2 linked regions of the Bombyx mori genome follow. The protein of the gene in region 1 purifies or fractionates together with the protein of each later gene. This does not show direct contact. Links are inferred from orthologs where the notes say so. Each region holds a gene or a part of one and is shown on either strand. Other genes may lie near its edges.

Region 1 (8,163 bases):
TTACATTTGCAATTTCTGGGAGTTTGTTGAAAAATATATTGCTTGCTTGACTTACAGATAAATCGAAATCATCAGCCAATTGAGAGAATGTTCTATTTAATGTTATTCTCATCAGACATAATATAATATTTTGTTCAGAAACATTTGTATGTTTCTCAATCAAGCCTATTATGAAACATAATTCTTGTGGAATACCAATATATAAACATTGTTTATTTTTCACTTTAGATAAAGTTGTTAACACATTCATTTTTTCAATTTTTTAGTCTTCTTGAGAGCTATAGTCTGAAGTGCACAAGTCTTTGATGGAGTGGAGATATAGAGAGATAACTCATAGTCAACAGTTGATCCTTCTGTTGCTGGTGCATTTGACTCATCACTGTCAAATTTGTCCTCAGGAACAACAGTTTTTTTTTTGCTGGTTCTGATTGTTTACTTATACTTGCTTCAGATATATTAAGGGGTGATGTGGCAATACACACTTGCCTTGCCTTTGTGTTCCTGTGCTGGAGCTACTTGGATAGCTTTGTCATTACTACACCTATTTTCAAGTGGCTGGACATCTGGAAATATGAAATAATGTTAGCAATTTCCAACAAACGTATAGTTTGTAAATATATAGGATTATATGTGTACTGTCGTAGTAGTAGTAGTAGTATTTAACTTCCTAGTCATCATCATCAGACCATATAATATATCCCCTTGCTAGACACTGGCCTTCACTACCATTGAGAGGGTTTTTAGGCCTTAGTCCACCACGCTGGCCTAGTGCTGGTTGGTGGATTACACACCTAAGAAAATCCTAAGAACATTTAGGTGTGCAGGTTTCATCACAATGTTTTCCTTCACTGTTAAAGTAAGTAAGTGATATTACACTGTGATAAATTTTCATTTTCACAAACTTCCTAGTACCTTATGTAATAGGAACTGAGATCCACTTGCCCATTTTGGCTACTTCCACTAACTAACTAACTATTCTCATTTTTTCTGATATTGTTATTTGATTAGGAGATCTGTGAGTGTAACTAATTATTGACAGTTACACCTACCTTGACTACAAGATGGCAAAGGTATAATAATACGACACATCTCATTTTTAGTCGTCTCTTCAATTTCCTTGATAATAGTGAGTCTTTGCCGTTTCACAAATGCAGGCCGAGGTTCACTATGAGTGAATTTTCGTTTTCTATCTGCCCGACAATCGAATTTGGATGGTAAACAGTTTGGTTTCATTCGAATTCATTTGATGGAGCTCATTATCTTGTATTGCATATAATTCTCCATGTAGTTTTCCAGCTAAAACATGAAATAATTTTCCAACAATTTCAATACATAACCTATAAAAAAAATATTAAAATGTTATTTTACTAATGTTAGGAATATAATTTCGACTGTGTCAAAATGTTATTATAATGTATACCTACATTATCTCTTGAAAGATAAATAATGAACATATTTACTTATTTGTTTATATTACCTATGTGAACTCTTAAACCTATCTTTTTTATACCTTCATAGCGATAGGTATATAGGAGGATGGAAAAAATGTATTTGGTCTAACTTTACGCGAATGCACATTATTTTATTTATTTTGTTTTTAATTTTTTTAATTAAACTGTATACCAATTAATTGATCCTTCAGGATTTATAATGGTTTTTTTTTTCACGATTAAAACCGCGTAGAAAGTTTAGGCATTATAGTTGACGCATGCGCCATAGATTATACACTTATGGCATGCGCAGTACACATATTTTGTATACATTTATTCAACTAATACAATTAATTAAACAAAAAATGAGTAATTTCGAAAGAGAACAAACGTATTTTATATAAGAACAATCGAAAATGAATATTTACGAGTAATTAAGGACGAAAAAATATTAAAAATTGCAATCGAGGGGCTAACTTTTAGAAATATTTTTAATATTTTTTTAAAAATAAATAAATGGGGAACAAACAGTTATTAACAGTGAACAATCAAGAACAAATGATGAACAAACGAATTAATAGAAAATAAGTAGAAAACAGGAAAAAAAATTTTTTTTGAGGGGCTAACTTCATTCACCCTAAAAACTTATAGGTAAAAAATGTAAACGTCTAGATGAGTTTTTTTATGGGATTTTATGACCTGGTAACTAAGACTTTTAGGTGAAGTCTTATTTTAATTTGAATTAAAACTTTTATATATATGTGAAAAATGATATTAGGAAATTAAATGAGATGAGATGATATACTGAGACTTTTTCAGTGGACTTTTTGGAGGATCCCGAGAAGTTACGTCAGTGGCTTTGTTTCATTTTCTCACATTTGTGTACTTTCACAGATACTAAGCAGTTAATAAACCACCGTTATTACACATTTAAACCTGAAGAAACATTAAATAGACAAAATAAAACAAATCACACAACTTCACTATTCGCGTTCCCGCCAAAAGTCCCTTGTATTTAAATGAATTTTTATCGTCCATTTAATAAGCAAAGGGATCAAAACCTTCTTCAAGAAATGTATGTTTAAGTGGTACGATCTGATCTGAATTGAATGAAGCGAGATGAGATGAGACAGGAAGCACTGATCAACAAGATCTCGACAAGACACATTAAGACTTATTTTCATTTTCTAATACGTGCGCATTTTCATCGATGTTATACGTTAATAGGCCACCATTGTTATATGTAATTATTATGCACATGGTTTTAGCGTCCCAAAAAACACCAAACACCTTCTTGCGTTTCCATCCAAAAGTTGTACACTGTAGGCACAAGCTCATTCAAAATGGTATAATCTATGAGTTTATAAATTGCCACATTTAAAATTTGTAACAATTTTTCAGTCCACGTAAAAAATTAAAAAACCAAGACTTTTCTAAAAAAAAGCTTTTGAGAAGCCCCAAACTTTAACTGTTTTATTTTCTATCTCTCTTAAAGTTCATAGAAATTTGTTTGTTATTTGGTAGAAAAAACTAGAAAATTATGAATTTTCAGAATTTCCAGATTTAGAACCAAGGATAGTTAAGATTATTAAGATTACGTGAAATGGAATTATTTTTTATGGCTGCTAGATCCCCGTGCTTGTTTTGGCGTTCTTTTATTGCATTTTAATTAATAACTAGTGGGGGTTTTACCGTCGCTACTGTAAACTACTGAGCGCGTTTGCCGCTTCGTTTTAATTAATTGTATTATTTTAAGCCGCCAATCTGGAAGTTATACAAGTGACACGGGAGGACGCCGAAATGACGTCCGTGGTACGAAGACGGGAGCACGACGATTCGGGAGAATATTCAGATGCTTCTCAGGACATCGAACACAATAACTCGTTGAACGTGAGTTGTTAACTAGTGGTCTCGACGGTCGCACTTTCGTTTTGGCGCATAAAGTATTACAGTGTTACTTTCTCCGGCGATTTCGCGTGTCGGAATTCCCATTTCGTTTTGTTGTATTGAGGTCATGATAGTTCTGCAATCGCTCTAACGTTGTCTTTGTACATGGACTGCAATTCAAGAGCGCCACGTAATTCGTAGGCATTGTTTTGTTTTGCGATATGCATTCCCTGAAGGTTGCCGATTGTTTACAGGAAGGGCCGCCCGAGTCCGATTATGACTCGCAGGGTAGCGATTCTGACCACTCTGAACGGGATCCAGAGGCACAGGTAACCATTCATTATATTTAGATAACAATTTCACGATTTTCCAGACAAGTTAATTAAGAAGACAGCTTTTTTATCATATAAAAAATTAGAGAAACAAAATTGGAGTCTCTTTTGTTATAGGTGCATTATTTTACGTACTTTTTCTTTGTTACTTGTGAACAAAATACCAAAAAGTACCATGCATATAAATACAATGGACACCTACCAATACAACTTAAACATTGTTTTGTGCATGCATTTTTAAGAAAACTTTTATCAAACTGGTAAAAATTATAAAGTAAGTTTTTTAAGTACTGAAGATTTGTAAAGTACTTAAGTTTATTCACTATAGAAAGTTAAATGAGTAAATAAAAAAAACCATTTAGTTGCTAAATTAAAAATCCTATGATCCAAAAGTCTAAATAGTGGATCAAAAGATGACTTCAAATAGCAGTTTTCCTAACTAACTACTTTGTTTAATAACTTTCAAAATCAATGAATAATATCCTGTTAAAAAATAAACTGCTCAAAATGAAAATTGTAATACTACTATATGCAGGAATTGTGTACTGGCGATGGTAAAATATACAATAATTGCTTAGCTTTAAAATTAGACTTGCAGAGAACTATTTTGCTAATAATCTGCAAGGATTAAATAAATTAAAACTTGAAAATAATTTCTTATTAAACCATCGGACTTTGGAATTGATTCACGAAAACAGGTTTTGAAAAACAGTAATTGGAAGTGTCTTGCCTCATGTTCATCACTTATTTTAACCTTTTTGGATTGCATCTCATTGAAGTTATTTTCTAAATATTATATTTAATAAATGTTATGGCTATTACGTCATAGGGACAACATTCTAAAATTATAGCAAACTGTTTACGGCACATGATTATGTTTTTAAATTTTATATTTAAATCCAGTTCTTATTTAAAAATATTAAACAGCTTTCACTTGTTCATTGAATTCATACCTCAAAGTTTACATATTTAAAATAACATTTCCATCTATCTCACTCATGTTAAAGTAAATTACTGTAAGTAAGTAAAAGACGAAATAAAATAGAATGAAAACTTAGATTTAAATACAAAAAATATATATTCAGACAGCCTTATTAAATATATAAAGGATCATAAACAAATTACTACAAATTTCGGAGGAGACTATTAACACTATAGAGCTTGAATGTCAATGTTAATTTCAATGATAAAAATTAATTCATTCAAAATAATGCAAATTTATTACAGCAGATTCAGAAAACAGGTTTTTGTTAAACTGAATCAAGGTTAAAGAAATTTGAATTTGTTAATAACATGAAAATAACGTTTGTGATGGGGTTCTTTTAAATGCTTTTTAATCTATAGATATTCAAACATCCCATCTGCTGTTACCAGAGCTCATTGAATGTGAAATGTCATCCTGGCATATTTTATACCTTTCAAATTGGAACATATTAAATGCTTTAGAAATAAGCGGAATGTTGGTACACAAATGCTGTTAGCAGTAAATTTTCTTAATCTATTAGTTTTAAAGATTTTAATAAAACCTTTAATTTTTCCTAAATTCAATTTAGTATTCTACATTACTCAGTCTCATTAACGCTGTTTATGTATTTGAGGATTGAGGTTGAACATTTAAATTGTCATAATTTTTCAAACCTTTGTACCCAAGGTACTATGTATCTGTAAACAATGCTATATGACCCTTTGTGACTTATCCCCAGTTATTATTATAGATAAAGAAAATGATTATATGTAATGTTTACTTTTTAATTCTAAAGTACTTTAATGACTGTGTTGTAGTTATTTTTATCTCTCAAGGCATATTGAAGTTTAATATAATTGATATTCATCCATTAAATGGAAGAGATTAACAGTAGCTCACAATCCCAAGTTGTCTATTTGACACAATTTCCTTTTTACCCAAAAAAAAATTATAAACATAGTATAATTTAATATCTCTTCTACATTCATATTTTGTATATTCAATTTTGTTAATGTTTATATAGAAAAAATTAAGGTATTAGGTTATTAAAAAGTGTAGAGCAGAATTATTATAAGGCTTAAATTTTACAGGAAGGTGAACGCAGAGTTGATGATGATGAAGATAGGAGCAATCCTCAGTATATCCCCAAGAGAGGAACATTCTACGAGCATGATGACCGAACCGCAGCAAGGTTAGAATAAGATTGTATGCCGATAAATTCCATATGTCGACACAAAGATATGCAATAGTTTGTTACACTAAATCCATAGGGGCTGCCGACGGGCAGGTTTATATTGCAAGTGCTTTTCTATTGTCATTCTGATCTTTGTATCAATGCCATTCAATGCCTTTGAGCTGTTATGAGCTAGGTATGAAATTAATTTATAAGTAATGTAACTCATATTGTTAGTAAAAGTATTTGCCAGGTTTACATTTATAAGTCAGGTTGATACAATTATGTTATATAAAATGAACCGTATAGGTAGACATTACATCAGAATGTAATACACTCGTGTGTATTGTAAATAACGCGTGCTCATATGCTATTGACCGATCTGTTCGTTGGACCGTCAAAATGACTTGGAAAGTTGTATTGTTATAACTACACAATGCCATTTTTGTTTTAGATAAGAATTTTATTATATATCTCACGAGTCAGAGAACTTATTTTGTGTGGGTTAATTTGTATCTCATGCTCAACCAAATGTAAATAAAGCCATATTTATTAATAGGATGTAGGGTGTGCATGGAAAGGTTTTAAATAATGGCAGAAATCTTTTATAAAATTGCTATGTCTGTCTGTTTTTGGATACATCGTAGATTTCATGTTTTCATTTCTACTTCTTCTTTCTTTCTGGTCGTTCCCTCAATGCTGAGGATCGTGACTGTATGTCAATCTTCTCCACTCGGTCCGGTTCTGCGCCATATGTACCGCTCCCTGTATCTGGCCTCCAGTCACCTCCTTGAGTTGGTCCACCCATCTAGCTGGTGCTCTTCCTCTAGCGCGCTTCCCCGCCATTTGTCCGAAAATTATGAGTTCCTCCAGGCTGTGCAATGGGGATCGCATTATGCGCCCAAAGAAACTCCGGATCCTTTCCTGGCACATAGTCAGCAGGCGCTTGGTGACCTTCAGCTCTTCGAGGATGGAGACATTGGTTCTCATAGCTGTCCAAGGAATGCGTAGCAGCTTTCTCCAGAAATACATTTCAAAGGCCTCGATCTTTTTGCGTTCCTTTTTCCTGAGACATCAAGTCTCCACCCCGTACAGGAAGATAGAGAAGACCAACGTACAAGCCAAACGCATCTTAGTTACTCGGCGAATATTATTAATTTCTACTAACTGGCAGTTAAGAAATCACATTTTAATCTATTTCACTTGACATCTATATAGGATTTTCTATATTGAAGAGATAAGGAGTAATGAAAGTTGTTGCTAGTACTGTGTATTTCAGTCAGCAAACAATGTGTGAGATGGTGTGTTCTGCTCTAACGTCTTAGCGAGATTCGTTTGATGTTGGGACGCGCACGCATTAAGTCTTAGCATTTTTTTGACTGCCCCAATATCGTATCCCTTTATGATATCCTTTTAAAAGGCATTTAATTCTTTATTAGCTTTAGTCCATTCTAAACATTCTGTGTAAATTTTTATCTGCTAATACTATTTATCTTTAAAGTAGTTAGTCTAACATAATTTGTTTGTGCTGCTCTTAAAATCACAGATTTGTGTATGGAAAACTCATATTTTTTTTTTGTATTTATTAAATTTTTTTCTCTCTAAGCACCAGTCATTTTTGTACATACTTTGACATTGGCAGAATCAATGCCAAAGGCGTTGGAGCCAAATTCTTATTTAAAAAAAAGTCTTAGCATTCTAACATATCGATGGAACAAAGCGAATGGTCGTAACTTGAAAAACCCAACTTTACACCAGAGCTATCGGAATCGCGACCCACTGAGAAGATCCAGCGATAAACTCAGTGGGATGTGTCTATGGATTAGTTCGCTCGTGGAACTTTTTGTCGTGATCGATGAGTTCGACGAGGAATTCATAATAATGTAATCAGATAGGCTGGGTTTTAGCTTAAGTTACGACAATTCAGCTTTCTTCTGTTGATATAATTAGATTTGAATCTACCAGTCAACTGGCCACTTCATACGATTAACTGGTCCTCAACCTTCTGCATAGTTCTTAGGGGTCAGTCTTGGGGTAAGGCAGTTCGCGGCAGTATACTCTTAAGCATTAATCATTTAGATACTCCTCAAAAGAGTAGTAGGACCTACTTTGTATTTCAAATATGATCTCATACGTAGCTCATACGATGCGCGACGGTAGTCCAGTCCGTATCTATATAGAGCTGAACTTCAATGATGATAGTGTTTGTTCACCAGCGGCGAGGAATCTGTCAACACGACATCCGAAACGGCTTCAGAGAAAAAGGAGGGCTCCGAGACGACGACCGAACGACGCCGCCCTCCACGAAAATCTGACATTGTCAATAAATGGACGCACGACAAATACAACGAGAATGAACAGGTACAATTGTTTTTC
Region 2 (7,598 bases), on another chromosome or scaffold:
TTCCGCCAGACTTATATTTTTCAGTGCGTTAATTTAAATTTACACTTAAAAAATTTACAGTTTTGCGTAAAAAATTTGTTCCATTTGAAAAAGAAAAAAAACCCTTTTTTTATTACATATATTATTACAATACATTACATACATTAGTTTTTTATTTATTTAAATTTCTTAGGACCGAATATGAGATCGGCGTCCGGTGCCCCTTTGGGATGTTGGTATTTCTGACGAACATGCTGACCTCTGTTAGGATTACCGATACCTCCCGATCCACCACCGCTCTCTGCGCTATATTCTTCTTCTTCTTGTCTTTCCGATATATTTAGAGTAAGTCTAAAAAATACAATTAATCAGTAAATTAAATACAAAATACACACTACATCTATGACATTGACGTTATTTTTAATTGCTATTTTCTGAAAGGTTTAGAAATTTCTTTCAAGACAAACATTGTTTAAGGCCGTATAACGAATTCTTACGTTTTATTGTTTAAAATTAAAAATTTAAATGTTTAAAATCAAGTCTGTTTCTTTTTTTAAGACCACAAGGAATCACCAGACTTCCGCCTACTCATTGGGGGCAGTAGGCGAGTCATATCGGAGTTGAACTAACTGAAACCCCATCTTCCTACTCCCACGGGACACCGTAGCAGCATACGTCGGCTCCACGACCGTATTGATCTTTAGGCTATCCGACGTCTCTGTTGCTTGCGTAAATTATTTTTTTAATAACTTATTATCTGAATTTCAATACCGTTTAACTCGTTCCATTTCTTGTTTATCAGCTAAAGCTTGTTGTTGTAGATTGCTGGCCAATTCCGGTGGAGCACTGAACGATTTATATTGTGGTTTCGTTCCTTTACGAACCATAAGAACGAATTCCACGCCCTCTTTTCCTTGCTGAAAATAAAATATTCAATGAATACTATTACAAGTATTAATTGTAAATATAATTTAGGATAGATAAAAAGCTATTTTATTTTTATTTTATTTCCAGTTACAAAAAATAAGCTATCAAAAACATTTTAAAGTTATGACATGTAATCTTCTGTAGAACACACAGTATAAACATAGTGCAGCTAAAAGATGTAATTCTGGAGACAGTTTCCTTTTACCTTGAATTTCCTACACTAGACATAAAGTAAATTGAGACGTGTTTCACAGAGTTTTACTTAAGCGTCAGTAACTCAAATTGTATATTAACTCATACCAAGAGCTGTTCATACGTCTTCTTCGTAGTCTGTCTGCAGGTCATCGGGACAGCAATGTCGCGTTGTTGCGGTCTATTCTCCCGTTGTCTTTCTGCAATATTTTCTGTTACCATTTTCTCGAATGCCGATTCGAACTCAACGTCTTCTACCTAAAAACCGAAATGCATACGAGTATATGTAGTAGGTACATTGATTTTGTAAAATAATTTAAAACTATATCAAAGATTTCCACTTACATGTTTAGTAGCAGGTCTTCGTGGCTCAATTGCCATTTCATCTTGCATTTCGTTTTCGTCATTAACATTATTTTCGGTAATCGGTTCTTCATCAGAGCTTTCATCAGGCAATTGCGGATTGTCCGTTTCATCATCCGTTTCCATGATTGTGTCTAAGCCGTCGTTCACACTATCATCACCTTGATCCTCATTATCGTACTCTTCCTCTCCTAGCTCCGGATATAAAGTCTGTCGTAGTTCATCTATTGCATCCTTACACTGTTGCCAGCTCGTAAACAAAGTCAACTTAGGGCGTAAAGTCGTCAGGCATTCTTGATAAATATATTTAACGTAAATAGGGAATTGATAGTCTTTTGTCCATATCGGATCAGAGAACTTGAACCAATAGTAATTTTGGAAGAAGGTCAAAAAATAGTCTAATCTTTTTTTGCTCGAACCACTGTTGAAGTATGCACCACAAGTCTCAAGCAGAGCGCAGACTAGTCTTATTCTAAAAACATTATCAGATGGGTCCAATACAGATACACTGCTGTGATCATTGGTGACACCAAATGTTATAAATGAATATAAAACAGTGAAAACATCTCGAGAATCTAATAATTTATAATTATAGAGTTCTCCGAGATACCGAACAGTAGCTATCCTTCTTTGATTATATCTTGGATGTGGGTCTTCCATTGTTACCCTTATTTCTTCTAATATTGTGTCAACGACTGCTGGAGCTACTACTTCTTGCCAGATTGCCAGTTCAGCTGTCAGTCTGGCCAGAGCCCTTCTGGCACTTGCTCTTACCCTCCAACCTCCTGCGAGATGTTGTATGGCAATGGCGGATACCTCTGGGTCATCCCAATTCAGTTTTCGCATTAGTCTAAGAATTTTTTCCTCATTACTTTTCTGCAAGTCTTCATGAAGTATTTTTCTGATAAATTGATGAAGTGGTGGCTCTTCTTCTTTAGGCTGAACAGGAGTTTCGGGAGGGCAAACGTAATAGAATGCGTTTTCTATCTGTGTTACATATCGCGAATCTAGAGCTGAAACAGTCTGAACACAAATAATTATTATTTAAGTAGAGCATTTTCTAATAATATAATTCAATATATTCCATTAACGTATATTCTGTTAAACTGTTATTTTATTTATTATTTAAACTATTAAATTAGGATCTATTGAATTATAATAATTATAATATATCAACTCAACAAAATATATTCATATTATGTTTTCATACTTTTTTTCGCATCATTTGCTGTAAATATATCATAGTCCTTTGGTGTGTATCTGGATTACAGTATAAATATCTACCACACGTTTCAAGCAGATTGCAAGCCATCTCAATATGGTGATGCTTAAAATCATGCAGCAACACTTTCAAACAGTACAGCGCCTCCATTTTCGAATACAAATTAAACTTAACCAGTTCCCCAATGAATCGCACCACTTTTATCTAAAATAAATTATATATAAAAATTTAAAAAACACAATAATAGTTCTTCGGTTTTAGCAAGTTGTAGACATAATTAAAACTATTTTTATGACTGTTAGTCGTGCGTGACCACATAAACTGTAAAATATTAGAAACGTCAAATATAATATTGAGTAATAACAATATAAGGAAAGATTAAGCTGTACAAGTAATTTTAATAATAGATTTATTTAATATTTTACTGTCTTCTTTTTTTGGAGTATATTTATGTAGAGTCAACATAAAACCATTATATTATATTCTTCTTACCTTCGATTCAATATTTATTTGATCCTTTTTCCTGACATGATACTTAAAGTCTTGTTTTAACATTTGACACAGGTCAACACATACTTCTGGCAGTACTGGATATAAAATCGCAGCAAATCTTGAGTAAAATGGCAACAGATCTAGCCTTGTTCTGGCAACACTGAAGAGAACTCTTGAAAGTTTCTTCCGATTATTCTTTGTATTGAGATTCAGGATAAAATCAACTGCTGCATTATCTATGAGTTCTCGGTTGATACAGTTGGGAAGTTCATTCAAAAATGTATCTAATCCATGTCTGTCACAAAATTGAAAATTTAATAAATTAAAAACATATCAATTGAATTGATTTCTTTTTTTTTTTTTTTTCCTACCTCAGCTGATAGCCCTAGCGGCTATTTCAGCGTAACCCTAACTTTAGTAGGTGAGCTCACGGGGCTCAAACCTGACGATGTTGCTAACACGAACCCTAGCAAGAGTCGTGCTTCGCAGAATCTACCACCGGATCGGAAACGCGACCCACTGAGAAGATCCGGCGAGAAACTCAGTGGGCTGTGTCTGAGAGTTAATTTACTCGTCGAGCCCTTCGTCGCAAGCGACGGGTTCGACGAGAACGGTGACCGGTGCTTGAATTACCTAAAAGCACCGTTAGTGGATCAGGAGGATCCGAGATGACGTGTTTTGGGCGACGTCGACTGCTTTCCATTCTGTCCGCAGGATCGGGAATGTAGTTACCGGCGGCCACGATGAGAGGGTTCTCGTGTCGTGCCGCTTTATCGAAGTGGCGCATGGACGCCGACTGCAGATACTTACTGATGGACTCTAAGTCCAGGTCGTCATGGAGGTCGACGTTCCTGACGAACCACGGGGCTCCGACGGCTATCCTGCAAAAACGGGATTGAATAATTTGAAAGGATTTTAAGTGTATGCGGGCCGCGTGAGCGAACACTACACTTGCATAGGTCATGACGGGGCGTATGCAAGTTTTGTAGAGTGTCACCTTATTTCTAAGGGACATTTTACTTCGCCTACATATCATCGGGTAGAGACGTCCTAGGATGAAGGCGGCACGATCGCGTACCGTCTTGATGTGGGGGCGGAATGTCATCCTACTGTCGAGGGTGACGCCTAAATATTTGACCTTCGGGGCCCACGGTATGGGCTGGTCGTACATCGTGATTGGGCGAACGGCGGGGGCGGGGGTGTTGACGCGCCTAGTCGGGAGAGGGATGCTCAGCGTGGTGTTCGGAGGGCGACCCCTTTTGAAGAGCACCGCTGTGCTTTTCGTGGGGTTAATGTCGATGCGCCACTTCCGGAACCACTGTCCCATGGTGGTAGCTGCGGTCTGAAGTCGTCGATGAAGCAACGCCTTCTTCCTACACGAGTAGTAGATGGCGGTGTCATCGGCGAAGAGCGCCAGATGGGTCTCCGGAGACCGGGGTATATCGTTGATATACAAACTGAATAGTAACGGGGAGAGGGCGGAGCCTTGCGGGACTCCGGCTGTGACGTGACGGGGCCGGGAACGCGTTCCCTCGACTCGATATCGGAACGAACGGTTCGACAAGTAGTCTCGTATGATGAGCACGAGTCTGTCTGGCACTCCCATGTTATACAGTTTGTATATCAAACCGTTGTGCCAGACTTTGTCGAACGCCTTCGCTATATCGAAGAAGAGGGCTCCTGTCGGAATGGGTTTCCGCCTGTTCAGCCCTAGTAAGATGTGCTCCGTGAGGCGGTGCACTTGATGGACGCACGAGTGTCTGGCGCGGAATCCAAACTGCTCGTCTATCAGAATTTTGTTCGCGGATACGAAGTCCCAGAGGCGTTTACGAAGGAGCCGTTCGTATAGTTTGCCTATCGCCGGGAGGAGACTGATGGGGCGGTAACTCGCGGTTTCGTTCTTCGGTTTGCCCGGCTTGTGTATGCCGATAACGTCCGCTTCTTTCCACGCCGCGGGAAAGATGCAGTTCGTCATAGCAGCATTTAATATGGTGGCCAACATCGTTATCAGTTGGGCTGGTAACAATTTAAGCGCGCGGTTGCGGATGCCGTCGGAGCCGGGAGCTTTCCGTGGTTGTAGGCTATCGATCGCCTCCTTGACCTCGGAAGTGGTAATGGGGGGTAACGCGTCCGAGGGCGGCAGGGAAGCTCTGCGCTCGACCTCCCTGTCGACGAACTCGGTGTGTTCGGGGTCCGCGTGTTGAGTGCTGGTGGTGCACTGCTCTTGCAGTGCATCGGCCAGCAACTCTGCCTTGTCATCGTCATCGTAAGCCGGTGGTTGGCCTGAGGGGCGTACGAGAGGCGGCATAGTGGCTATAGTTTCGGACTTGAGGGTCCTAGCTAGTTGCCAGTATGCTTGGTGAGTGTGCGCGAGTTCTTCTAAATAACTATCCCAGTTTTCGTTTCGGGCGTCGCTTAAGCGGGATTTGACCTCCCGCTGTAAGCGACGCATCCGAGTCCGGTTTGAATCCGTGGGATATCGATCGTAGGCCCGGATTGCCGCGTTTCTAATTCTAACGAGGTCCCTAAGTTCGGGGGAAAGTCTGATGCGGTGGAAGCAGTCCTCCACATCGACTTGTTTCGAGGATCTTATGATCGCCGTCGAGACGTGATCAGTGAAGATGTTTATGGATTCGACGGTATCCTCGGGGGATGGAGTTGAATCCGGGCCGCAAGGGAGGATTGGTGGAGCGGTGTCAGCTAAGCACGTGCCCAGCTTCTTCCAATCCACCATGGTCCTCGTATCTGGTTCGCGGTTGAGTGGGCGACCGAGCTGCATGACGACAGGTCGGTGGTCTGAGTCGAGTTCTGACATTGCCTCGATGGAGCGTAAGCGCAGAGTTACGTTCCTCAGTAGTGCCAGATCTATTGTGCTCGGACGACGCGCGGCGTTGTACGGATAGCACGTGGGGGTCGGGGGGTTGAATACTTCGAATGTGAGGTTGTCTATGAACGCGTCGAGACGCCTACCGTTCACATTCGTGCGATGGCAGTTCCACCTAGTGTGGTGGCAATTTAAATCGCCTGCCAGGATGACCGCGTCCCCCATACCGAACAGTGTCTCGAGGTCACTGCTCAGGAGGGGTTTGTCAGGGGGGAGATAAACGGATGCGATGACGATCGGCTGGTGTCCCGTCAGCGCGATGCGGCACACTGACGCCTCGATATGTAAGAGCGAGGGAGTATCGAGAGGGACGCAGTGCAGGGCCCTCCTATAGTAAATGACAGTCCCGCCCTTGCGGGCGGAGAGTCTGTCATTCCTAACCATGACGTAATTCGCGACTTTGGGGTCGCGACGCGAGGGCTTTAGGAAGGTCTCCTGCACCAGAAGGATGTCGATGAGATTATCGCGGAGAAACTCATATACTTGATCGCGCTGACGCGCGAGTCCGTTAGCATTATAAAATGCTAACTTTATGGAACGCGGTTTTTCCCTACTGTTGCACGCCATTGATTACCGGTAATCAAACCAGCGTGCGCTGGACGGACTCGATGACGTCGATGTACTCGAACGTCGCGTTTAGGCGGTCTTCGGCCGTGACCGCTCTGCGCATGGCGTCGGCGAACGCACGCATGCGGTCGATGTTTATCGCGGCGATGTAGTCGCGAATAATTGTAAAATCGTTTGAGTGCGCGGGGCCGGGGCGAGGCGCGGGACCGGGCGCGGGCGCGGGGGCGGGGCGCGGCGCGAGTAGAGGTTGCGGCGCGTACCGCGGTTGGGGTGCCGGTGTCGTTCCTGCCTTCGTGAACGGCAACGGTTTCGCCCACGCGGAGACGGTGGGCACCGGAGCCGGTACGAAAGCCGGTTTCGGCGCGCGGGGCGCCGAAGTCTTTGGGCCAGCGGTTTTAGGGGGCGCGTTTGCCGGGCGCTTCCGTGGAGCCTTGGGGCATCCACGGTAGTTGGCCGTGTGTCCCTGCTTGCGGCAGAGTACACAGCTCGGCGGCTCCGTCGCTGTCTCCTTCACGCGCGAGCAATCGGTGGTCGCGTGATCGTCTAAACATTTCACGCAACGCGGTCGCGCGTTGCAGTTACGCGCGGAGTGGCCATATAACTGGCAACGGTGGCACTGCCCGGGAGTGCCGCGTTTGTAGGGGGCCTCTACGGTGACCCCCGATAGGCCGCACACGGTGCGGAGACATGAGGCAATTTTCTTGCCCTCCGGTGTGGCTTCTAGTGCTAATTGATTTCAAGATTGGAGCGAAATGTAAGTATTTAAATATTCTATTGTTCCTTTTCATCACCTATGTTACCATGTTTGACATAGACATTTCTTATTTTCACTATGCTTTTAGTTTGTTAAAAGTAAATGGATCTAATATTAGGAGAGAGGAGTGAGTCTTACAATCAATGATTTCTAATGTAAGCATTTTTTTTATACAAGCCTTTCTTTAATTTAGCTTGTTTCTGTATATTGGAAAAAAA

The links.
Region 2: the proteins of protein CASC3 (region 1) and regulator of nonsense transcripts 2 fractionate together in Homo sapiens (co-fractionation; 3 studies listed by BioGRID and IntAct). This does not show direct contact. The link is inferred for Bombyx mori from reciprocal best matches to the Homo sapiens genes CASC3 and UPF2.

What each region holds. Positions count from the first base shown.
Region 1 is NC_085126.1:2,194,337-2,202,499, reverse strand, and holds the start of protein CASC3, read left to right. Parts: upstream 1-2,906; 5' UTR 2,907-3,230; coding exon 3,231-3,320; intron 3,321-3,571; coding exon 3,572-3,646; intron 3,647-5,704; coding exon 5,705-5,805; intron 5,806-8,003; coding exon 8,004-8,148; intron 8,149-8,163. UniProt on the Homo sapiens protein: Required for pre-mRNA splicing as component of the spliceosome. Core component of the splicing-dependent multiprotein exon junction complex (EJC) deposited at splice junctions on mRNAs.
Region 2 is NC_085110.1:14,012,013-14,019,610, forward strand, and holds part of regulator of nonsense transcripts 2, read right to left. Parts: intron 3,471-7,598; coding exon 3,176-3,470; intron 2,888-3,175; coding exon 2,672-2,887; intron 2,485-2,671; coding exon 1,444-2,484; intron 1,357-1,443; coding exon 1,207-1,356; intron 897-1,206; coding exon 751-896; intron 331-750; coding exon 156-330; 3' UTR 1-155. UniProt on the Homo sapiens protein: Involved in nonsense-mediated decay (NMD) of mRNAs containing premature stop codons by associating with the nuclear exon junction complex (EJC).